Lepisosteus oculatus: one gene and its partner. The protein of the gene in region 1 binds, or shares a complex with, the protein of each later gene. Links are inferred from orthologs where the notes say so. Each region holds a gene or a part of one and is shown in the gene's direction. Other genes may lie near its edges. The genes, in order: ptpn22 and pstpip1a.

The links.
Region 2: the proteins of ptpn22 (region 1) and pstpip1a are in contact, whole or in part, in a crystal structure (PDB 7AAM), measured with the Homo sapiens proteins. The link is inferred for Lepisosteus oculatus from reciprocal best matches to the Homo sapiens genes PTPN22 and PSTPIP1. Residues at the interface, in NP_057051.4 of Homo sapiens: Ser793, Lys794, Pro795, Gly797, Pro798, Arg799, Asn800, Pro801, Pro802, Trp805, Asn806; in NP_003969.2 of Homo sapiens: Thr225, Arg228, Asn229, Trp232, Asn236, Ser239, Met240, Cys242, Val243, Asp246.

The regions. Positions count from the first base shown.
Region 1 is NC_090700.1:35,038,032-35,050,869, reverse strand, and holds the start of ptpn22 (tyrosine-protein phosphatase non-receptor type 22), read left to right. Parts: upstream 1-7,522; 5' UTR 7,523-7,647; coding exon 7,648-7,737; intron 7,738-12,838. Other genes in the region: uncharacterized protein, read right to left, coding at 730-1,059, 2,679-2,712. UniProt on the Homo sapiens protein: Acts as a negative regulator of T-cell receptor (TCR) signaling by direct dephosphorylation of the Src family kinases LCK and FYN, ITAMs of the TCRz/CD3 complex, as well as ZAP70, VAV, VCP and other key signaling molecules.
Region 2 is NC_090700.1:57,239,548-57,252,721, reverse strand, and holds the start of pstpip1a (proline-serine-threonine phosphatase-interacting protein 1a), read left to right. Parts: upstream 1-7,606; 5' UTR 7,607-8,026; coding exon 8,027-8,059; intron 8,060-11,811; coding exon 11,812-11,912; intron 11,913-13,174. Other genes in the region: scaper (S phase cyclin A-associated protein in the endoplasmic reticulum), read right to left, coding at 910-1,110; rcn2 (reticulocalbin-2), read left to right, coding at 2,967-3,089, 3,305-3,407, 3,763-3,959, 4,042-4,155, 4,298-4,391, 4,853-4,995, 6,038-6,181. UniProt on the Homo sapiens protein: Involved in regulation of the actin cytoskeleton. May regulate WAS actin-bundling activity. Bridges the interaction between ABL1 and PTPN18 leading to ABL1 dephosphorylation.

The DNA.
Region 1 (12,838 bases):
GAGTTATTTTTTAACTCCAGCCATCTCGATGAGTTGTCAGCTCAAACAGTGCAGGAGTTAGTTCAGTAAGATGGCATGACTTTACAATGTGCCTGAGTCAAATTTAAAAATATATTATAAAGGAAATGGAAAACCACCACAGATTAACTCACTTGAGTGTGGGTTTGGTGTTGCAAGATTATAAATAAGTGACTAAATAAGAATCTGTTTTCTGTGGAGGTAATCAGCCCACTTCATGCAGACCATCTGCACAATTCTTCCCAAACATTAAAGCTATTCCTCCTGGTCAGGAGGAATCAGTCTATTTTACTGATTTACTGATACAGTATAAAAAATCAAGAAAAAGTCAACATAGGTATATATGGCCTATAGGTATACAGTATACGGTACATATACATTTCTCAGTATTAATCTGACTATTATCAGCTAATGTTGTTCAATTCATATTTACATTTTCTTTTTCTTTACATGACTACTTGTGGTGCATATTTAACTTCCTATTTGGTATTACATTACAATACTTGTGTGGGACATTTGAATTCAAAATGTAGTTTTTTTTCAATATGGTAACAGAAAACACCAATGTTTAAGACTAACAGTTGAGAGAAATTGTTTCTGTCGATAGGAAGTGAATTAGATGCTGGAATATTGGGTTTTAAGGATGCTGAGAAGATGAAGGATGAGTAGGTGAGCAAAGGAAAAATACTGTAGACAAGCTCTTTACTGTACCTTCTGTCACTTTGATGGTGATCTTCCACATAATATCAGTATAAGGTCTGTCAATCCCCACCCAGTATACTCCTGTATCATCCAAACGGAGCTGTGTCATTCTGATCAGCAAGACTCCTTGTCTATCTTGTAAAAAGATCCTCCCTCGATATTCCCATTTCACAAAGTTGTCGCTGTCTGCCAGAATCTCACACCAGTTGCGTGATTCTCCATGGCACCAGTACTTCTTGTTATACAGGTATCCGTTGGTCTTGTAATGACAGACGACTGTGAGAGTTCCTGCAACGGTGCTTTTCTCCTCAGCTCTGTCACAGTGGAGCTGGACACTACCTGGTAATGAACATTCACGTCCTTTAATACCTCTAGTTTCTTATGTGCCAGGCATCTAACACATAGATGTGCAGTGCTGTACACACACCCAAATAACACAACTGTAAATAAGATATAAGCAAGGATTTCCATTATTGAATTTTGAAACAAAACATCTGTGTCTTTGCTAAATAGAAATGTAGTATTTTAAGACAGTATGGCTTTCACTCCCTTTTAAGAGCAGGTCTGGTGTTTCCCTGTCCTGAACTCATCTTTCCTTCTGCTTAGGCAATCTTACCAGTAGCTGCAGTGGATAAACAGCCTCACGTCATAAAGCTCTAAGCTTCAAAGCAGGCAGATTTCACTTCTTTTGGAATGCCTTGTTTGTATTGTGCCAATGATATGGAAGTTAGGTTTTTTTAAAAAAAGAGTTAGCTATGCACCAAGACTGTTTTGACAGTTGGATTTTAGAAATCACCCATGTCAAACCATTCTAAAGTCGCATTCTCATCACCTATTCATCCGCATGGTCTGGATCAGTGTTACAAAAATCTAAAAAATTAAATAAAAACCCTGTACTTGCCTTTTATCCCTATTGCATGTTTCAAGAAAGAGAAACAATTAAAGGTTTTAGTTTTGAAACCTATTCAAATATTCCAGATTAACCATAAAGGAGAAAGCAAGCAGGCCTTTAAAAAAAGATGAGTTAGTACAATTCTATGATGAAAAATGATCCGAAAATGCTATAATACTGACACCCTAACACCAAGAAGTGACTGGTTGAAGTGTCCGCATTCAAAAAAACTAAAAAATCCAGCTGAAAAATAAGATGATATGTTATTTTCATTGTGTTAAAGTAATTTTTCTGTTTTTAAACCATCCATCTGTTCATCTTCTGTTATCTTCTCCTGGTGAGGACTGTAGTCATTTAATGTAATGCCCTAACTTTCTCTCTCCACTTTAAAACAAATCTATTCTTTCTGCACTTAATTTAGAATTGTGTCAATTAATCTCTGAGATTTACGGTAAGAATGCAAAAACAGGAATTTCATGAAATCTTTCTAAATTAAACGATTTTACTGAAATAATTAGGGATATTCGTAAATCCAAATATTTATCATTCTTACTATTAATATTAATATACTGTACATCGGCAAGCAATCACACAGCCAGCAGATGTAACTATTGGCCTTAATTATTGATGTAATTATTTCCCAAACTGTGCTTCACGAACGATGATATCTGTTCAATGTTTACTAGACACGTATTTATCCAGCGTAAAATTGATCATAAGATATTCTAGTTAAGATTTCTAGTAAATTAAGATAATTTAAGACATACTGTATGGCTAGTGTACCTTATTTGATCTTCCCACAGTAGTAAATTATTGAATAACACTGCAGGAGATGGTGGGCACAACCTCTATACAGTATTGTCAGAAGTTACTGGTACAAGATATTACAAAATATCCTGATACTGTACGTCTGTAACAGACAGTGAGCTACTCATAAAGAGACAAAGGCAGACAGATATGTACAAATTCTTAGTATATCATTTTACATCACTTGTAGTTTTATTTTTTTTCTTCTGTACAAATTCTTAAAAACTTAATCTGATGGCTGGTAGAAATATGTACTTACTCTGAAAAAGCAGCATTAAACACAGGACTCTCATCACGCCAGTTTACCTGGGGCATGTCAGACAACAACAGGATGCTCTGTTCAAGTGGACTGTGGTTTTGTTGTCAAAGTGCCGCATGCAAACATATTCACTGTGGTTTTTTCTGGTCACCTTTATTACGAGCCATTTCTTTGAAATGGATGTTTTTGCAGAAATCGTATAGATGAGGTAATTTTCAAAAATTCCTCTGGTAAATTTGGCCTTTGTTTTTCAAATCACCCCTATACAGTAGCTATTGATTATAGCTTACCAATTAACACCTTCAAACAGTTTAAGAGTAATAAACCCTTTTCATCACCCAGAGGTCAGAAGAAACATGGGGTTTTTCATCTCATCTTCAACTGTCTTTTTCAGAAAAAAAAGTTCAAGTTCAAGTTACAGTGGAATTAAATATTGGTCCTTCTGGCCCATGATGCAATTACAAACAAGACACTGACATTGTAGACAGGATACACATAGTGCAATTACTACTAAAAATAATAATACTAATATTGATAAATAGGATGGTTCAAACTAAGACAGTGTACACCAGAACAGAGGCAGTGTACACAGGAGATACTCATTTACTCATTTACTCAACTATTACAGAATAGTATAAAAAATACATCTTACAGTGAATGGAAAAAAAAGGTTCATTGCACATTTTGCAGATATGCAGGTTCACATGATAAGAAAGCTGTCCATGCCTGGCACTGAAGCAAAATGCAGCTGCAATCTTTCTGGTGTCTAGCCTTGCTCCACTGGTTGAGGTAACATACAATAAAAACTCTTCATTCTTACTATGACGCTGAACCTCAGAAATGCCATCCCTCTTTGTAGAATTACAGGAATAAAATATTTGATTTGATCAGTAAGTTTAATTTAAAGGCCAGTTTAACCAGATGTCTGGGCAGGTCCAACACATTGCATGTCAGTGTGTAGCAAATACAGTACCTCTATGGAAACAAAATACATTACATTCATGTAATGACACGGAATCCCATAAATACCAAAGAATAAGGTATTTGTGAATTTCGTAATATGGGCCCCATAAACAAAAAACATTATAGAAAGACTTTATTAAAGGAGCACTTCATGATGTCACTATTCGATTTGCTACCCACAACCTAGAAAGCAGTGTGCATCTGCAGTGATTTCGTTTTTTTACTGTATGAAACCTTTCAGTGTCTTTTGCCGGATTTCTCAGAGCTGCCACTAGAGGGCAGATTCCATTTGAATATAAAAGGCAACTTTATCAGAACTCAGAGCTGCAATTTCATATTGCGCTTAACAGCAAATACTGACACAAAACTTTCATGCAGCGGAGAAATACATGTTAAGTAATAATTTATTGATCACCACCGATTGTTGTTTTTTTTTGCAGTTGAAGGGCACACTGGCGCTAAGTATAAGTACAGAGAAGTTTGTGATTATATCATTCTGGCTATCATCTGCCAAGGGAAGGTGAATCAGGAAAGAGATCCAGCATTTCACTAACATCCACAGAATGTGTGGCTCACTTGTTGGAGATCAACCCAGTGAGATCTGAGAACATAGGAGGTCCTGATGAAGAGAAGGTAAGATGATAATGTTGGCTGGACGTTTCAATCAAAACTCTATTGTGCAACTGATTTTTATACAGAGATAAGCTTGTAGCCCTTCCAGCCCTTCATAAGAAGGCCTTTAGGCAGATGCACAACAACGAGGAGTGGAGCTCATATCATTGGTCCTCCTCCTCACCTGCAGGATTTGGAATGAGGAAAAAAATCTGAGATGATTTCTGGGATGCCATGAGCGTGTGGATATTACAGAGGTTTCTCTGTCTATCACAGGGCGATCATCAGCTACACCCTTCAGAATTGTCAGTGTGTGCTAAGGCCAGAACTGACACAATGTTCACTGTTCACCAGTGGCAGGAAAAGACAGAAAACTTTCTACTACTGTATATGGCTTTTTTTGACTTTACAAAATGAAAACCACTAATTGTATCAATGAAGAAGCCATATAGAGAATCCATGTGAAGTACTGATGCCTTCCAAATTTTGTCTTTGCCTGATAATAAAAATGATAATATTTGAGCACTGAATGACAGTATCTATCATGACCCCCCGTTGAAGTTTAGGCAAGAATCAAGCAAAGCATGATATCATATCTGGTCACCACAGTCTCCTAGTTGTTGTTGCTTGTTCTAAATTTTCTGATGGAAGAGTATTTAACTCTTTAAAACACAGCATGTAAGGTGTTCCATAGACCCATGACACAAAGTGTTTTAAGCTACCATTGAGACATGAACAGACCTCTTTTAACATCCACTAAAGCCCTCATCTATGATACGGATCCATCTGACTTTCTTCTCTATGCACCACTGAACCATGGCCTCCATGGTCAAAGATCTAAGAGTGATCATGAGGTCCAACAGCTTATTGTGGTTTAGACAGGAGATAAAAGGCTTCCAACAGTGCCATGAAACCAGAATCATTCAAATGTATGTATTAAAGATATAGTGAACAGTGATCAGTCCAATGATAAGTGATACCTGGTCTCTTCTTTCATTTCTGAATGAGCTCTCATTTTTTAAATGCTGACATATTTGACATTTTGTGAGATATTTGAAGTTTTTCGGGATGGTGACAGACAGTAACATCTTTATGCTCCAGTCATGCTTCTGTTTTGCTCTTAAGGTATTCAATGCATTGTTTAACCGCTTTAAAATATGCAGTTTCACGTAAGTGACTGGGCGTTTCTGACATGGGAAAAAATGTTCACAGAACCAGCATTACAGTCAAACTGTAATTAGATCAAATGCTGCTAGCTGTAATGGCATCAAAGCTGCATGTACTTTCCAGAAGCCTGCTCATTAATCAACTGACTAGAAGTGCTCATGACTTAATTAAAATAATATCAGTATCGTTTTATTGAAAGCAATAATGCAGATTAATGTGGAATTAAAGGTGGACTTGTTGCACAAACAAGCAGCAAGTGCCTGTTGGGACTCCTTTTGAAAAAAGTTAACCAGATTTTTTCAAATTTACCATTTTTTATACTTTGTGCCTTATAGCTCAATCTCTACAGTGGCTGTTGTAAGACAGCTAAAATATGCCCATTTCCATATGGTCCAAAACAGCAGCTACAGCAGGACTGATCCAGCTACAGGAAATGTTTGGTTGAGGTCATACTGTACTTACATTCACATACTTTTTACTTTTTTCAGCATAGACACTAAATGTTTAAACAATGTGCTCAATGTAGTCATGAAAAAGTCACAATTGTTTATGTGTTATTTGTTTAATCAGATTGTATTTAATTATTATTATGACTTATCTGAAGAACAGATTGCACTTTAGGAGCACGTAATTAATACAGGAATACAGATGATTCCGAAGGGTACACAAACATTTTTCTCACAACTGTAAGGTTGGTTTTTATTCATGTAATAAATGAAAATTGGATTTACTCATCTGAAGTACTACAGGAGAAGTGCCAGAAGCTAGATTTTTGAACAGACAATTTGTCTTCATTCTTAGTTCCCTATAATAGACTGGCAGGCTGAAATTACACTTCCTTAACCTCAGGATAGAAGTGATGCACACAGAGGTCTTTTAGAAATGTGATAGGGAAGGAAATAGAGGCAGAAGATATTTCTCCTTTTGCTTCACTATGTTCTACTTGATAAGATCCTTTTTGAAACGCATGGACTGTGCTCTCACTGACCACATTATCACAGCAACCATGAAAATATATCAGTGGTAGAACTGAAATATACAAATGCATACAATGTACAATTTTCCATCTCTTGTGAAATGTTAATTTTTAGAAGGCTAATATGTTTCACTTTCAGAAGCATACAATACACCAGTAGACATTATTTAAAAAATGTATGCATTATGACAAGCCAACCTACAGCCCCATATAGCACACAAGCAGCCTTCTGTTGAGAATCTTTGGAAATTTTCAGACAAGAAAAGCAAGTCAAACACTAAATCACAACACTGAGCTGACAGTCTGTTTGAAAAGGGAGCAAAATGAATTCACAAAGCATGTGAGTTCACTGTTGCAGCACCTGACACTGTTCTAGGCTGCAGAAGGAGCTGCACAATTCAAAGATAAGGATGCCAGTAAAGGAGAATGCATTCCTGAAACACCATGCTTACGTCAGTGTCACAATTTCCTGTTTAACATGGCAAAACCTTTTAAAAGGGGTAACAAAAGAACAGTTCTTCGAAACCTGTTGGCCAAGAGTACGTTTTATGTCATGACTGCAAATCAAGTAAACTCTATAATTGTACTTTTAAGACTTGGTTTGTCTCATCATCATCAGAAAGGGATGTCTAACTTCATACGTTGTTACTTGGCATTAAATATTTTCAAATATGTCATTTTCAGACATATCAAATCCAGACAGAGAGGTGAAAAGAGCTAGCTCAGCAGAGCACATACTGTAAAATTCACTGGAATCAATAAGACAGAAGGCACAGAGAAATGGGTCTTACCAATTTCTTTACCAATGGGAAATACCTTCTTGGGACTGATTAGCCTTTCAAACTGGATTCTGGGAGTGATGAATGCTGTCTGACTGGCTGTGCAGCCTCACCGCTTCTTGTTTTACATTTCCTAATTCCCTGTCTTGAAGCGTGATTGTGTTGTTGTCATTTCACTGCACGTCTGTAGGAGACTCTCGCAGCACAGCACACTAATTGTCCACACACATCACAGCACATGCGCACACTCAATATGGGAGAAGAGAAACGGGCTCTAGGACCCTGCATGACGGATGATATTTTTAATCTGACCACAGAACCTGTTAGCTATGCTTCCTTCAAGACAGCTCATGCAGTTCTTAACCACAGGCTCATTGGCAGTAGAGGCTGTCAGTGTGCCGGTCCCACGAGCCCCCAGTCCTGACATGTCCTACCCCAGCTGCAGGACACCCAGAGGACAAAGGGACTCAGCATGGACCAAAGGAGCATCCTGAGGAAGTTCCTGGACGAGATGCAGACCAAGGAGGCTCAGTCTGAGGAGATCTTTGCCAGCGAATATTTAGTGAGTTCATTCTTTCAAGCTGTACTTTGATACTATAATCTCCTTTAGCCCACATGAAACAAGCTCGGGCTTTGCCTCAATTAACTGAAGTTCACAGGAGTACAGAAGGAAAGTTTACAAACAAAAACTGAAAAGTTCTGAGCGCCGACTCTTTCAGTGCTGCACTAAGGAAGAAAAAAGTTTAAATCCCTTATGAACAATTCAATTCCTCTATCTTCTCATATTCTTTTTATTAGTATTTAAAGTTTTATAGTAAGTACTGTAAGATGTGGTAATGATGGTCGTCAACAATAGCTGTCGGCTTAGATATATAGAGTGTAAATGTATAGCAGCAACAATGTGTTCATTATGATATACACATGATGTGCATGTAATGTACCGAATGCACTGGTCTGTTAAATTTCTTCTACTTATGCACTATATATTGATAGTATATCTATATGTATAGTTTATAAACTATATTATGACTACATTTTTAGCACCTCTCTCAGTATAGGCCTGTAAAATAGAGTAGCTGATTTAAAACACTACAGTGCGTCTGTTTAAAAGGCTGGAAGGAAGTGATCGATGTGACGGAGTTAGTATCGCTGTCTGTAAGGCCAGGACAGAAAAGGCATTTAGTAATGCACTTATAATCACCTCTAACTCAGCACGAGCATGTAAGAGTGATATCTCATGTTAAAGAATTTTCTCAATTATTAGAGTGTTAAATATTTCCACAGCTTGTTCCTGTATGAGAATAACTGATACTATGCCATGTTGTGGTTTTACCCCTTATGTGGTGTTTGTAGAGTTCCTTGAAAATGTTCCGGTCTGACCATCATAACATGTCAGAAACAAAATGAAACAGGAACTCAAAAACAAAAGACAAATCTGCATTTTTGTTTTCTGCAAGTTTTGGTCACATTCATCTGTTAAAATCAAACTGACAATCCATAGGAGAGTTTAAAATGCAGTCAGGGTGTCTGAGCACATTGTTCCAGAGGTCCCGTTTGGGCCAGAATGTAGCACTGTGTCTGCCTCCTCTCCCTGCTGGGGCACTTCTCTCTGTAAATACTGCATGGGTGATGTGAAAGAGTACTGTATTTTTTCTCACCTACATAAATTTGCAAATCTACCTTTTGTAAGACAAAGGACCAAATTCCTTGTGCTGGTGGACACGACCTATAAACTTTGAACTTGAAGAAGACACCATTTCTGTATGTCTGTTTGTGTTTGATAGGGTGGGTGTTTTCCTAATTTACCAGCAGCATGAAAACACTGGAGAAACACTAAAAGTTTCTCATTGATTTTTAGACTTACTCTGAGCTCTGTTATTACTTACTCTGTTATGGAACAGTGTAGGCCGCTCACAGTTATGGTCTCATCACAGCTCTTGTTTAAGTGCTGCATGTTTAAAGGCAGTACTGCTTCTGAATCGTCCATTACCTAAAGTAAACTAGACACTTCTAATATTAACTTTCTTAAGCAGAAAGATCTTTATACTGTATTTATTTTTATTTTTATTTTTATTCTGTACTCTGTATTTTAACATGTTTTTCTAAAGTGTGAACTTCTCTAAATGTGACACTTCTGTTATTAAGAGCCTTGCCTGTTCCCACGAAGCCATTAAAGCTAAAGCACATACTGTAAAAATGTAAGAAAGGTTATGAGGTTGGTATTTAGAGGCTAATTGATCAGGGGATCATATCAACCCTTTTCTGGAATAAAAGCAGGGTATTGGCTTCAACAACAGACCTGAGTTGCCATAGTTTGCACTTGTATTGGTTGGTTCAGATTTCAGTGGTGAAGTCCACTGAGTTGACTGCTACAGTTGCTTTAATTGATTTTGACTATTTAAAAATCAGGTTCCTCATAGTCTTCTCTGTTCAAGACTAAAAAGATTCAGTTCCTTCAGCCTGTCAATGTACTCTCCTTTGAGACCAGGAATATATCTTGTCGCTCTACCCTAGAGCAGCATTTATAGCATGATTAAAAAATTGTACACAAAATTCTACAGAGATATTACTAGTGCAATTGTGTGCAATTTCAATACAACATCCCATTGATTTGAATTTTACACTTATAACTAAATGTTGTAACACTCTGTTTGCCTATTCTCATTGATAACACTTGACTGAACAGTTTTAGTCAGGCCTCGTGGCAGGAATAACACACTAAGGAAATGTTTACTACCCCTAGGACACCCATGAAAAACGGTGGTGCGAGGGGGGCAGTAATGTAAATGGACTAAATAATCACTTTTCCTATTTATGATTTCATTATCTCTGCATTTTACCAGTACCTCTCCATTCCCATTGCACTCATTTTACTGACACTTTTTATTCCTGCTGTGCCTGAGTAAGCACGCAACTCGTTAAACAACCCTTCATCTCTTCTCATTATGATGAATTAATGAGTAAAGGTCTACTTTCAAGAAACCTCTGAGGCTGCAGATGAGCCAAATTGCTTTGAATGGTAAAAATAAACTGCTGGTTATTGCTCTACGTTACAACCCATTTAACCTTCTCGTCCTCTGTTACAGACTTAATGCTAAAATATCAACTTTAAACAGTGCTGTTCTGGTGCTGATGGTTCTTTTGCAGCAGGGTTCTGTGGTCTTATGATATTATCAATGATATTCACTAAAAGAACCAAAATGGCGAACATGTGTTTTTATCACATACTGTACATACCTGAAACAGTTTTGGTTTGAATGGTGATAGGCTGTGGATTGCTGTGACACGGAACAGACCTGTATTGCACACTGTTACTGCGAGGAAGGATTTTGTTTTGGGGGATCTTTGTTTCTAGTACAACCAGTATTGACCAGAAGGAAATAGAAGCTGATGAGTTGGATGATTTCCTCTCATTTGTGGTTATTTTTAGATAGACTTGCACTCAGTGATGCCTTCGATGCAGTTTAATTTTTTAAACATTGTTGCAGTCGTGGCTTAAAAATGCAATTGTGACTCTCAAATTAATCATGGCACTCCTAAAGCATGATCCCAGGTTCAGACAGTCTGTCTGACTGGTCAGTTTTACAGTGCATGCTCTTTCTTCACATAAAATGTCAGGATTTCTTGTACCACTGTAACTTTTGCAACATTAATTGTCTGTACTGTTCAAATTTATAGGCTCAAAGTCAATTCATTCTTTTTTATTCATGTATCTCAGTGCGGGTTCTAAATAGAAACTAGTAGACTGCAGAGAGTTTGGCTGGCATAACCATACAATTAGTATACAATGCACACACCGCAATAGATTGGGACATTTCTCTTGTTTTTTGCACCAGTGCTTGTGGGAATGTTTTTAGAGCCTGTCAACATGAATAACAAGATGTGATACAATGTAGCACTAGTGTTGCCACACTCTACCCAATACCATCCTAAATTGCCTCATGCACAATTAAGCTGGTAGCTCTATCAGCAGGAACTGCGTGAACTACCAATGAAAAGCTCTCACTTTGGCTTGAATCTAGGCCCTGTTGTTGCAGTTCACTCTGTTGAGCACCAGTCTCGAAAGCAGAAAACATAAGCAGAATGTGTCTTTTTCTAAAGTAGCACAATGCACTATAAAAGCAGACAGGGTCTGTCCCCAAGCCTTGAGATTGTGAGAGACACTTTCTGACATAAGTACCAAGTCACAAGAGCACAAAGAAGTATGGGAAATCACCACTGGCTTTGTGGCAAAGAGGAAACATCCTTTATTTTTAAGATCACTGGTAGCATGACTGTTCTTTTAAAAGAAATGCAGAACTTCACGCTGGTGGACAGTGCTAAGGGAAACTCACCCAAACTGCACAAACACATGCTCTGTCTTTGAATCGTCTCATTCTTTTATCAGTTTTAACCTTTCATAGTGGCTGCTTCATGTCTACGTGAACAAATAAACATTAATACGTCAATTATGCAAAGACATTTTTTTATGTCAGTACTCTGCATTTATCCTTAATGAAGCATTTCATATAATTAATTAATGTCTAATTACAGCAAATCAATCATATCAAGCAGATATGTAATGTATCCTTGAGGTTTGTTTGCTTTCTTTATGGTTGTTTGACATTCCTAATTAAGAAGCATTAACTTTTAATTGAAAAGGTTTGAGCTGGGGGCTGTGTCAGCGTACATTAGCGGCAAAGGAACAAGTACAGTAAATTCAGTGCTGAACAGCAGATAGATGAAAAGCAAGGTTCTGGCTGCTGAACCATCTTCAGGTACATTTCTTTCTACTTTCCACCATTAACCTTTTTTTCGGCTCCTTGATTTAGGTGTATGCTTTGGCATCTAATGAAATTGTCAGCAAAGGTTTAGGTGAAAATTTAGTGGGAAATGGCCAAAGGCGTCAATATGTATGTGTGAGGTAAACAGTAAGGGGTTTAGGTCACCGCATGTCTGATTTCCGTTCTGCTGCTGAGGGAGTGGAAACTTTCTGCTACGAGTGCTCGCTCGACCTCTTAGAATTTCCATCACAGGCGCAGAAAACCCCCTGACCACAAACTCAATGCGCCCCTTGTCTCCAAGAAGAACTCCAGACAATTCATTATGCGGAGGGGTGAACACCTACTGAAATATGTTTTCATGATATGATGACTGAAATACTGTACATTTTGCTGTAATTTCTCCTCTCCTGATGTGACCCTTATGAACCACTCAAGATGGTTCAAAGATGACTCGGGTTGTATGACATTGGATTTGTGTGACATTGGAGCATGCCAGGGTTTCACAACAGTCTGCAACAGCCGCAGATTATCACTCCACTGAAACTTTTCATGACCAGAATGAGCAAATTATTACCTTAATGGACCAATTAAGGAACTTTTAAAGGTAGAGATACTTTAAAGCAGGGCTTTAAATCTCTTTTGATCCCAATGTTGGACCAAGAGATAAATAATTAAATCTTTAATTGTATTAAACTTTTCATTATTGAATCTGAAGTTTTAAGCTCTTACACTGAATTTCAATTAATCTATCAAACTGTAAGAATAAAAGGGCAATTTTGTTCCCAAAAAAAGGCTCTGTCATAGCTGTAATTAAGAACATTACTTGAATTAAGGGTTAGGTAAAGTAACAGAGATTCCAGCTAGAGTGAAAAATCTGCTGGATCTCCTTCTTCAAGGAGG
Region 2 (13,174 bases), about 22 Mb from region 1:
GAAATCACACTACGGAAATGCAGTGGGAAAGACTGACACATTTAATCGTGGACGTCAGGTTTTGCTGTTGCTGTTGAGAAAACGTTACCAGCATCGCCTTTGCCCAACTTCAACCTCCAGTCCCAGTTGCTCTGCGAAGTGAACGCAAAGGGAGGAGGAAAACGTTCAAATGTAGGTAACATTCAAGTTCAAAGACACATGTAGGCATTTTATCAATGAATTGCTTTACAAAATAAGTCAACATTGTGGTAAATGTGGTAAATTAAGTGAATGTTTTTCTTCAGTGCTGCGTTCCACTTCAACATTGTTTCATTATTCAGTCAACAACGCCAACTGTCCCGAAAACTGCTACTACTGTGTGGGAGGGGGGCCTGTCAATATTTCACCTAAAACCCTGAGCTTCTGCCCGGTCATTGTTAATGTGTCCCCGAATTCACTCCTTCCCGGCGTCATTCCCATTTATAGTCCTTCATGACATTCGTACTGTAAGGCGAGTGCACGCTTTTGCAAGAAGAGAAGGGCGTATAGAAAATGAGTTGGAGGTTCGCTTTTTAAAACAAAAAGAATCAGACCCTGGTTAGCCTTGTGATGTGATGCCGTGCAACAAAACCGCTAGATGAAAATACGGGATCATCAGAAATCTGTAGGATCCAAAGGACAACTCCACAAAGTCGCTCCCGGTCTCCTCTCTCCTGAACAGCTCAAATATAATCACCCTTATTTAAACACGCATGCTTTACCTTTGCTAACTAAAACATAGCAGGTGCACACATTTTTAATTTGTCTTTAAAAGGGGAAAACGCGTATGGGGGCAGTACATGAGGCCAGCATTATACAGACTACTGTATACCGAGTCATATCAACGTGATCAAGCAAATATCTGCAAACTCAACCAACGGGAGGCTTTACCTTCAGGGCGAGGTTGATGGGAGTGTTCCTGCCTTTGCCTCCTCCATGCGATGATCCCGAGCTGTTGCTCCCCGATCTCTCCCTCCCATCCCCGCCTGGGCCCGCTCTCTTCCCCGCTCTCTCCCTGCCATCAAGCGCCGGGCCGAGCCGGTGCTGGCCAGCTCCACGCCGCCTGCCTTCGCTGCGGCAGTCCTTAGACATTGGGCAGGCGACGAAGCTTTTCTTTGTGATTTCTGATCAGGACGCCGATAAGATTTGCGCCTTAATGTGATGAGCTGCAAACCAGTGGCAAGAAAAAAAAACTACACAAGGCACAGCTGACAGCTCCTAGACAACCTAAAAAGAAGCAGGAAAGATTCTGACGCTTCGGTGACAGGCACAAAGATTAACCAATGATTTATAAGCTTTAGACAACAGGGCGGGTATAAGACGTAAGACAGCCAATCAGACATAAGAATAATGAGGTCAAAGGCTGTTAGGGTAGGTAGAACCGTGGCAACCAGGTAACCGAGGGAGGTACTACGTAATATGCATTTTGATTGGTTGATTTACGCAGCAACACAAACAATGTAAACAAAAACTGTTCTCGACTGTGAAGGTATTTTTCGGAGAGAAGTATTTGCCTACTAATCTAAATCGATGTGAACTAGACATGGTTGAGTAAGAATTATTCCACAGCGATCAGAGGATCATTCAGTATTAGAAATCAAGTGTACTGAACCGTAACGTTAGAACTTTAGAAATAAACTGTAATTATTTATTATTCGCGTTATCTCGAATACATTTGCAAAGGAGCATATAAAACGGATTTTTAAAAAGTCATAAAACATCGTTTTAGCATTGAACGTTGAAGATTTTACCACCGATAACTGAATATTAAAAAAACACTCCACTTTTTGTTTTATTTACACCGTTGAAATGGGAAATATCGCTGCAGTAATCCCATAGGCAGCTGTTAGAAAAATAAAATGGAGAAAATACATTTTTTCCTGGCTTCGTCAGGTACAGCTCTTAGAAAAAAAAATTGCATTGTTGTATTTCAATGAAAACAAAGAAAACGACTCTTTCTCATCGGAAGTGACGCCAGGGGTGTCGGACCCATAAAAAGTGGGGTGTCCGCTTGGGTACTTTTGTTCAAGTTCATGGTCAAATGTGGGAGACGTTGGCACGTAAGGTAACTATCTACAAGTACAGGGGTTTGTGCAGTCAACGTTGGAGCTGTGTTCTCGGCGAAGTTCTCTGTGTGCTTGGGAGGTTAGGACATCTCTAAGCCCTGACTAGCTACATTAATGACAACAGGCTGTGAGCTTGCTCCCACCGCTGCGCTGAAGTTTCGTGGAAAAAGACCATCGGTTTCCAAAGACAAACCGTGGCATCGCATCGGCTGTCACCGATTAGTTCGTTTAGTGCAAGGTTTGCAAACTAACGGTGACATTTAAATATCGTTAATCGATTAATGTCGACACAGCTTCGTAAATGCCCTGAGCTAAAGCAGACGTTAAGAAGATTGTAACAATCTCTGGTTGTCTTTATTTGTAGATGTCCAAGTTGGACTTTAGTCTTACTGCCTCTAGGGGATTTTGGAATGCTCTAATGGATTTTAATGACTTAATAGAAAGCACCAGAATCACAAACCATTTTAAATACCGAATCACGACAATTTTGATTTTATTCTCATTTATAAGGTGCGCATAGGTTCATTTAAATGTTGAAAATATTTTCTGCCTACTACAGCTGATCTTGTTTAGACCAGCTCTGCAGGATGCTGAAGTCTGCGCCTAAACCGATAACAAGTAGCCTAACGATGCATGCGTTGTATAGGAGTGACACGCTTAAACTGAGCGATAGGTTTAGTTTCAAGATTAAACGTATTGGTTACAATATATTCGTGCGCTTGATCTGTTTTGAGGATCCTCAATTGAACTGACCGACTTCTTACTTGTCCCTGAGCTGAAATTCCACCAGGTGGCACCCAAGTCCTGGGAGTGTTGAGCTTTGCTTATAAGGGGTTTTTGCTTTCAAATCTTGCAGATCTTACATTCCAGTTCTTATAGAGGATGAAGCGCATTATCTTGACTTGGGCGCTGTTTGCACTCTGTTCGTGCGCCTCTGAAAACAAGGCCAGCACCTTCAATGCTGAGGATCCTGAGTATGACGGGAGCATCTTCTTCAGAAATGAGGTAAATGGATTGAGTCTCCATTTTGTATCCCATTCAGGGATTATTTTGGAATGATTTAACATTTTCTTTTAGATATGATGGATATTTGGTGCGGTTCTTGTACATCACTATTGGATCAACGCATTTGATTCCAAGGTTAATTCTAGTGGCAACATTTTGGGGGGGTTTCCCTTTCAAGTGCTTTCTCACATTTCACACTGTTTTGTAACCCTGAGGACCAAGATGAGATCGAGAAGCTCAGTCCAGAGGAACAAAAACGGAGGCTGGCAGTAATTGTGAAGAAGATTGACACAGATTTGGATGGCTTTCTAACTGAAGGTTGGTCCACTCCCAATGCATCGTGCATGTAAAAGTGAATATCTGCATCCAATATTATTTGTGTGAACCCATATATTCTCTCCATGGCTGCATGGTGTCTAGGATAATTGGCATCTCTAAACTGGCCCCTGTGCGAGTGTGTCTTGCAATAGGCTGTCAGTTGTCTGCTTTGTTAGGCTCCAGATCACAATAATCTCATGTGTCCCTCTCTAAACTAAGCAGTCACTGAAATTGAATGGATCTGTGGGCTGGTGCATTCGATTTTGAAGTCTCCCTTGTCATGATAAATTGAAATAAATCACATGGCTGTTTTAAACCCCTCCAAATTGTGACCCTTTTTTCCCCACTTCCCCAGGCGAGATCAGTTTATGGATACAGCAGGTGTATAGACGATATGCTGTAGAAGATGTGGCAGAGAAGTTCTTGGAATTTGATAAAGATGGTGATGGGGCTGTATCTTGGAATGAATACACCCTGCTGGTACATGATCGCATCATTGACATGGACGAGGATAAGGTGCCAGAGAACTCTGAAGAAAAATCTCTTCACTTCGTAGGTTCCGTTTTTTTCTTCAACTTTTGCGTGCTTTGGCTTGGGGAAGTCATGTGATGTTGTCTGATTTTTGTCCCCTTAGTTGCACTTGAAGGAAAAGCAGCGCTTTGATCATGCCAATACAGATGGGAAACCCGGTTTGAATGTAACAGAGGTGCTTGCTTTTTTGCATCCATCAGAAGTGGACCATATGTCCGTAAGTTTATACTAATTACATACAATATGTATTTCTGTATCCGTTCGCACAATACAATTCCAAACATGTGTGACTCGTGGGAAATGTCTGTAAGGTACTGCCCACATCCATTTGCTTGATTTGGACACTTGTTCAATTGTAGAAGTATGCCATCGAGGACGTGTTGAATGAATACGATCGAGACAACGATGGGTTTATCAGTCTGCATGAATTTCTAGGGGATCTTCGAAGTCCAGGTAAGTTATAACCTTATGCATAAACTTAAAGCTTAGTTTCCTCCATGTCAGGTGCTCTAGTTTAGCTACTGCCCATCAGCTGGGTACAGTGCCTTGCAAAAGCATGCAGATCCTTGATGCAAGTTTTCAAATGTTGCTGGATTACAAATGATACTTGCACATCTTTCCAGTCAGGACTGTTATTGCAGGCTCACATGCTTGAACAGAAAAGGGCACTGCAATGGCTCAAGTCAGAATATCCCCACTGAGCAAAAGCCACAAACTAAATCCTCTGGAAAGCAGAAGTAAATTGTAAAGAAAGGAGATGAAAGTTCATGATATTCTGGTTTGTTTCACTGTGACGGTAACCACAAGTGTTTTAGACCAAGTTAAGCGGGCAACTTTGAGCCCGCAGCTGTCCTTTGCTGTGTGTTGGAGTTCTAATTGTGGTCTTGTGGATCTGTGTGTGTGTTGGATCAAAGATGGAGTAAATCAATCGCAGTGGGAAATTGAGGAGAAACTGCGTTTTGTGAACCTCTACGACCGGGACAACGATGGCAAACTGAACTATGAGGAGCAGCTGCTGTGGGTGGCACCCAATAGTTACGGCACAGCAAGGGAGGAGGTGAGGCAGCCCTCTCAGTTCAATAAAAGACCTCCTGCTGCAGTGCTGCAGCTTCTCGCACTCTAGGATCTTGATGTTTGAAGAATTCATGCATGCTTGCAGCAGAAATACAGTTAAGGATTTCTCTAGCTTGTCACAATCGTCAGATTTAGTATTATATTTAATTTGGTGGTTGTTACTAAAATTTGCAACTGGCAGAGCAGTTATAATAAGTCACGAATGTCTCTGTTAAAACAACATCCTAGACTTGGAGTATGACCGTGATATGAGTGCAGTCCACTGAGCAGCAGAGCCAACATTCCAGGGAAAAAAGCACAAAAAAAGTTTTCTGTGCAGATTGGCAGCTTGTCACATGTATTCTTTTCAGAACAACTGTATCATTATATCTGTTTGCAAGTTGAGGTTCTGTAATTCATTTCAGTCTTTTTCAAGAGCTAGTGCTGAAACATGTTTACATGTTTGGAAACTGCATTAATCTAAATTACTCTCCAGAATGTAAATTCAGGGTGATCAAATCTTTAAAGAATTCTGGGATAATTGAATATACATGTCATGAAATATTAAGTATTATTTTAGAAAGTGTATATGAGTCCTTTAAACTCTGATTCCATTTTCTTAGTATTGTCTAAGAATGGTGTGCAGGGTCTGGTTGACCTGAGTGCACTTTGTTAATTAAAGACTTTCACAGTAACAACATAACTAACACGACACCGTTAACTTGATATGTTGATGGAGAATAAACTGTGTAGGAGTTGCTGAATTCAGTTAACTGAATTTAAACCCAGCATCCCTGTTTAAAATAGGAGTGGAGACTAAAGGGATTAACAGTTTGCTCTGCATTTCTATTATTGCACATATCAAATGCTTGTTAATGTTAGTTCAATAAGAATTTATATTATTTTATTACAGTTCAGGGATGGTCAGAATGTTTGGCACATCTAGAATCCTAATTTCATTTGTGATCAGCAGGGATGATTTTAACAAGGTCGTTTCACAGCTGTTTTGGATGGCAGTTAAATGCATTTTTTTAAAAAAAAAACAGGCTCTCCACCTGATCCAGGAGATGGACCGGAATGGGGATGGCAGGTTATCGGAAATGGAGATCATGAGCAACATGCAGACATTCATGGACAGCGAAGTGACCGACTACGGCAGGCAGCTCCATTCTGTGCATGATGAACTTTAGTTTCAAATTTTATTTTTTTATAAATAAAAATGCACTGTTTTTCCCCACTATAGTGTTAATTATTTTGTGTTGTGGAAGCCCAGGTGTCTACATCATGAGCTGTAAACAAGAAAGTAGGCACATCTTTTCCAGCCTGTGCACACTGACATGTGCTGGTTGTCCAGTCGTGTACAGTGTGTTTTTTTAAAAACTGAAATTAAGAACTGTTCTGCTCAAATATGGGGCAGAGTGGTGGCTCTGTGTGGCTAAGGGTCTTTACCTGTGGCCTGAAGGTTGCTGGTTCAAATCCTGTATCTGGCAGAGGAATCCTCCTCCGTTGGACCGTTGAGAAAGGCCCTTAACCCCAACTGCTCCAGGGGCGCTGTACAATGGCTGACCCTTTGCTCTGATCCCAAACGTCTCTCCCTGTCTGTGTCTCATGGAGAGCAAGCTGGGGTATGCGAAAAGATGAATTCCTTATGCAAGAAAGTGTATATGGCTACTAAAGTAAAGTGATCTTATCTTAAAAAAAAACACGGAAAAGTGTGAGGTCTAATATTTATAAAGTGGACTTCTTTTCAGTGAAGTTTTTATGCTCCTAAATAAATGGAAACTACAGGAAGATAGTTTATAAGTTTTTTTTAGCATGTTTGTTTTACGTTTGCCAGGACTTGATTCTTTGCAATTATTATTTTTAATTGATCAATGTAATGATGTCATATGAGTTATTAAACTTATCCTTTTGCTCTTCATGATACAATCAATATCACTGATATTGGGGGAATACTGGTAGATTAACTGTGCCTTACCCACCTCAGCTAATGTTACAAAACAGCTGTCAGTTCTAGGCTTGTTGGAAAGGTGTCAAAATAAGAAATGAGTAATACACAGCATTACTCAATTCTCGCCCCAGAACATGAATTTCCGCAAAGAGTACCTAACCAGAGACCACGTTGCATCATTATGCTTTTTGTTTTTTCTATACTTGCTCATACTGTACATGGACACCTAGAAAAGATACAGTGAAGATCCCAGGAAAGTTTTTTATAATGCACTTTCAAAGAGGAAAAAATAAGTATTCAGAGCAAAGAATTTTGGGAACCCCTGTAGTAGTTTGCCTAGCTATCTAAATTTTTTGGTAGGGCAATTGATTGACTTAAGAAATCATAACGAATTGCTGTAGGCAGGGGTGCAGAAAGGTTTTGAACACTGCTTGCCAATTAGAATGTAAATGAAAGGTTTAAAAAAAGAAACTATTTTTAGAAATATTTGATCAATTTCTCAGGTTTTAAATGCTTCACACCATGTCCACAACACTTTGTACCGTGCTGTACGGAAGGAAACAAAAGGATATTACAACCTATCGGCAGGGGTGTCATAATTGACACCATAACTGCTGTGACTTGTTTCTGCGTTTTGCAAGCCTTTCCTGGTAACGACTTGCACAATCAACTGCACAGCTCAAAACATGTTTAGCTTCTGTGTTGTAAAAGTGTTCAATCCTTTACCTTTTTTTAACAAATACACACATTTTCCCAGCACAATTTCAGCACAGAAGTCCTAGCTGCTGTAGCATTCAAATAACAATGCTTCGGTTTTATTTGCTGTCTCTCAAGCACCCTTCTGTGGTCAATGACATCATTTGACAGTTTCTTCCTCATTTCAGTTTAACCAGTGTACCACAAGCAGTGTAGTGTTAGAGGGGTTTTGTCTTTTTTTGTGACCATCTACCTACTAAGGAGTGAGTTTACCTTTCTGCCTCAAGCACAGGGAGTAATAAGAGGGGTTTGGATTTTTCTTTTTGGACTTCAAACTTCACGTTTTGAAATTACTGTGCTGATAGAAGAAGGATTTTCTCCTGACAGGATGACACAGCTGCAATTCAAAGATGCTTTTTGGGTAAGCGATTTCACTTTTGTTCAAGTGTTCAAGCGATTGGGGTTATGTGATAACTTAACAAAGAAGGGCTGAACAAAGAAAATACGCTTCAAAAACAACCATTGGACACAAGTCCAATAAAAAATCATTGATATTTGATGATATTAAATTCTGTTTTATTTTAATAGATTATGTTTTGAAATCTCATGCTTTCTGTGTTCTGTCTGCTCAAATGTTTCATAGGTTTCTTTAAAGTTAATGGTAAATGGTTAAGCATCCAGACTAGGGAGTGACCGTTGCTTTTAAGAACAACGAATCCTGCCTGCATTGTTAACAAATATGTACAATTTGATGAAAAACGTGTTTACAAAAAATTCAAAAACAATTAAGATAATACATAAAATCATATTTTCATTTAAAGTTTCTACAATGCTAAAATACAGCAAATATAACAATATAACCTCAACTCCCCAAAATATACTAGTATACACTCCTGTCCTATTCACTGGATAATACAATTTCAAAGGAGCTTACTGACTTTTAATTACACAATTCCTATTCTCTGAACTCAACGGTATTTGAAATGTTCTGTGTGAAATGTCCTTTAGCCTGCTGCTATGTTACAATACTAATATCTGGAAAGTCAGTACTTCCTCCTAAAACCTTTCTATGGAAGAGGCGGAATTGAACCTGAATGTGGTCTTAACTTTCCCTACTTCTCTGGATGTAAATTTAATGCAAACTCTGTATATGGGGTTAGATTTTCAAGAGTTCCAATGTTAGTAGTGTGGGATGCATATTAATTGGAGATATAAAATAAAAGTATTATTTTACTTTTAGGGCACAAGCTTATATTAACTCCATGGATGGAAAAGAAATGTGAAGGATCACATTCAAAAGATCATGCTCACAAAGCTCTGTCTTTCTCGTTTGAAGGCAATTGTAAAATAATTTTGGTGCCTCTCTTAAAATTGCTTGATTCCCCTCCCAAAAATAGAATAGTAACTACAAGAAAATCCATTCCTGAGTATACAATTGTCTTTTAGTGTGGGTGTGATTTTGATTTGGATTTTGGGTGTAATTATCAAAACCAACCCTCATTAGTTAGTCTAGCGATGAGTCTGATGCAAATGTTTCTTTTGGGCTAAACAGATTAATTGTAGCAGGGAAATGCTGCTTTTATAATGTGTATAAGGCCTTGAACAGCAAGCTAGAGGAGCAAGGGAGTGCTTTAAGGAAATGGTTTTAATACCAGCATTATCAGGGACCCCTTCTATGTACTTGGTCATTATTTGAAGCGGTCTGTGTGCAGTTACTTAGACTCACATTTCCTGTATATGGCGGTTTGGCATTAAGCATGCTGGATTTTTTTTTCTTTCTCTTTGAACTTTCCTTTTAAACCATTGTCAGAGCGTTCATCTAAAAAGCAACAGTCACACTTCTGGGTTCATTTGCATCAGTGCTTTCGTGCAGTACAGCTGCCCCCCGTGTTTCTTTGTGAAATGGAAGTGTGTGGCTGATGCACAAAGAATCCTAAGTGTGAAAAGTAAAAAAAAAAAAACTTTTTTTTTACTTGTATTGGCAATGCAAAGCTTTTTTGATAATAACATTAAAGACTGGACAGGGAGAGTATAGAACTAGTGAGGAGAAGAGCTTTGGGTTTTCATATACTACTGAAAGCTTGTTTAATAATGAAACAGAAATTCTGCTACCTAGTTACTGGAGAGGGACAGATTCACGTCTAGCTTCTGCTTTTTTTAATACACTAAACTATGTCCATAAAAGGATTTTTTTTTGGTTAAAAAAATACTCTAGTCTAGAACAACAAGTGCTTTTCTAAAAGGATACATTTTTAGGGAAAAACTAAAGCAAACACTCCTAATAACCACCAATATGAAACCGTTTTTTTCTGATAGACGGCCTGGTCATTTCAGGGTCTGGGTGGGACATTGCTTCTTTATAGCTCACAACAGCCCCCACCCTGCTGGGAGTGGGCTGGCCTCCTCTCTAAACCCGAATGTGCCAGGCCAGCAGATACAGTACTTCTTGGGTCCTGGGGCAAAGCCCTCACACCATTTTCAACCCCCACCCCTCTGCTGTCCTGTGGGTGGCACTAGGATAATCAAAGAAGAAAGAAAATAATCCTGAAGCTTTGTCATTTGCATCAATCCTTTTTCAAAGCCAAAAGCAGGTCTTAACAGAAGAGGAAATGTGACGAGAGGGGATTCTGTTGTAGTAGAAGTGCGTTAGGTTAAAGCGTTTCAAAACTCAAAACAGTATTCTATAGAGGAACAGTCAGTGTAACATTCTGGTAGGATTAAAGCAATTCTGTCCATCTAAGTGTTACGCCGGGCCCAACAAGGTGTTGAAACAGGCTCGGCAAAAATTAGAGTCAATGAGCCAAGATATGCAGCAATCAAGATAATTTATTCGATAACAGTGCTGAAGAGGACCAACAGAGCTGAGACTGAGGAAACAGCTTAGGCAGTAGCTGCACAGATGAATCAGGCAGAGCAGAGACTGAGGACTACTGAGAAATACTGCTGAGAACCTGAAACTGAGACAAACTCAAGACAGAGTTAGTGACTCAATGTCTGAACCCTGAGGAATGAGTCCTCAGGGCTTAAATACTGTGCGAGGTTCCCTAATTGGCCTGATAGGCCCGGCCTGATCTCGTTGAGGAAGGCCCCAGTGAGTCTCCAGCATGTGCGGATTGCGCATTGGCAATTGGTGGAGCTGATGCGGCAGTGCTGGAGCTCGTTGGGGCATAACACTAAGTATTTACGTTTACATTTGGATAATGCTTATCTGCAAAGCCACAATTAATATGCATGGAAATTATGTTATATTATAATTATATGTAGAAGAACAGCAAGACACACCAGGGTTATACTAATGGTATACAAAAAGCACCATCAATTGCACTGTATTACATTTTTGAATTATCAGCTTATTTCTGAAAGTACGAGTGAAACAGTCCTCAGATGCATAAATAGAACTGATAAAGAGAGCAAACATTTCTGTCTCCATCACAACACGCCAGAACAAGGCATGGTTTGCAGGAGTTTTTTTTGCCAAAATTGCTGTAGGCAGGCACACAAAAAGTATTTAATTGCTGTTTAACAATTTAAGTGTAAGTGAAAGGTATAAAAAAGAAAACTGTATTTTCAAGGAGGCAAATGGCCTGAAAACGTAACTATTAGGCTTGATTGTTAATTAGTTATTTTTACCATGTCTGACTGGCCTGGTCTTGCACGCATGCATATGAGGAAGTTAATCTTTAAGTGAAAAAACAAATTAAAAAAAAAAAGAGTTCCTTCTCCATGTCCAGTAATATCACTGAGCAGATTGCACAACACAACTTCGGGAGAAGGTATGTTCCTAAATTCTTGTCATCCGGATATTGTATGTTGTGCAGAATACTGGAGATGCGAAAATAAAATAATCCTGTCAGAGATTGGTATAGGACAAGTCAGCAAATTAGGAAGTAATTAAGATAGCACCTGAACTAACCTTTTCTCAGTTCTTTTCTGGTTCTCTGTGTGTTTTCAGCGCTTGTGGTTCTTCGTTATTGTGATTTTCTTCCACTTCTTAGAGTGGACGTTTTGACCAGTAATGCCAGCACCTGTTGTTTTTGCTTTGCATTTTATTTGCCTGACTGCCATTAGAAACAGAGCCCAAAGCAAGGTTCTGGCTCTGTATATGACAACACTTTTAGAGTTCTTTCCTGTTTTGGGGTAAGACTGTACTGTCACGATGTGCTTCTGCTGCAGGGCCAAGATTTCACCAATAACTCCGGTTATGAGGCTCTGCTACAAAGGCTGTATGATGGCCGGCGAATGTGCAAGGACATGGAAGATCTTCTGAAGATGAGGTAAGCACTGCCTGTGGACTTCTTGATATTTGCCCTTTTAGTGGATGGGAAAAGCAAGTGGCGTTGAGCATTGAGTGTGTCGTGAACATCACTGAACAGCTGGATGAGACTCTGGGATCACATAGCTCCTAGCAACCAATATCGAGGCAGAAGGATGGCCTTCCCTCATTTCTAATCTTTCTTATGTACACCTTGACATCTCAACTACTCTGGTTACATTAGTCTTCCCCGAAGTGTGGAGAACAGGGAGGTTCAGTTGCATACTGTGGAAGACACCAATTGCGAAACTGGTGCTTGGACCAGAGTCTAAACTAAACATTTCCTTAAGTAGCAGGTCACTGGAATGCAAGAACATCAAGTATGAGTAACTGTCACAGTGAGCTAGTCAGGTGGATAATTATTTTTGTCTGTTTAACAGTATGCTGGCTACTGCACGTGCAATGCCTCTCATTGTATGAAACAACTTTTTAAATGAATATTGTTATGAAAATGGTTGAAATCAGCAATTGACCGTGCGGTTAACTCATTAAGTAAAATAAATATTGATAACCCCCAGCTTGTAAGTGATTTCTCCAGAATATACCCAAAGTAGTTGGTATAATTAGAGGCACGTGAATCTTTTATTTTTTGGCACAGCTGTGGTGAAAATAGTAATAATTCAGATGCACTTGGTTAAACAAATGTTTATTAACAATGACAAGAAAAACACTACACTACAAACAACAAAACATAAAACACACAAGTTATACGTTTACAGAATGTACAAACAAGGTGTTCCAGAAGCCTAACATTCTGATCACCCAGGAAAAAAAAACCCAGACTGCTACTATGTATTAAACTCTTAAATAATGCCTACAGAGGCCAGATAAGAAGCTACCTTTTAAATAAATGCAATACAACCTGCAGTTAAATCTCTCTCTCTGCATACCACAAAATAAATGGGAGCCTATCTCCCTATTCCGAAAATGTACCCCAAGCAGGAAAGACATTTCTGAGGTGTGTTTTACCCAGGAAACACAAGTTCCCTAAAAACACAGAATAGCAGGCTCTCTCTACCAAGGTTCAAATACTTAGCTCCAGCCAGATTTTGTCTGGATTATGATAATAATAAACTTTATTTTATATAGTCCTTTAAAGGTGGCTTCTCAAAAAACTTTACAGGATGACAACAACAATAAATAAGAAGAATACACAAGATGAAACACAATTACAATTTATAGAGGAGACAGTGGATGGTGGTACTAAGAAGAGCAGAGAGTTCC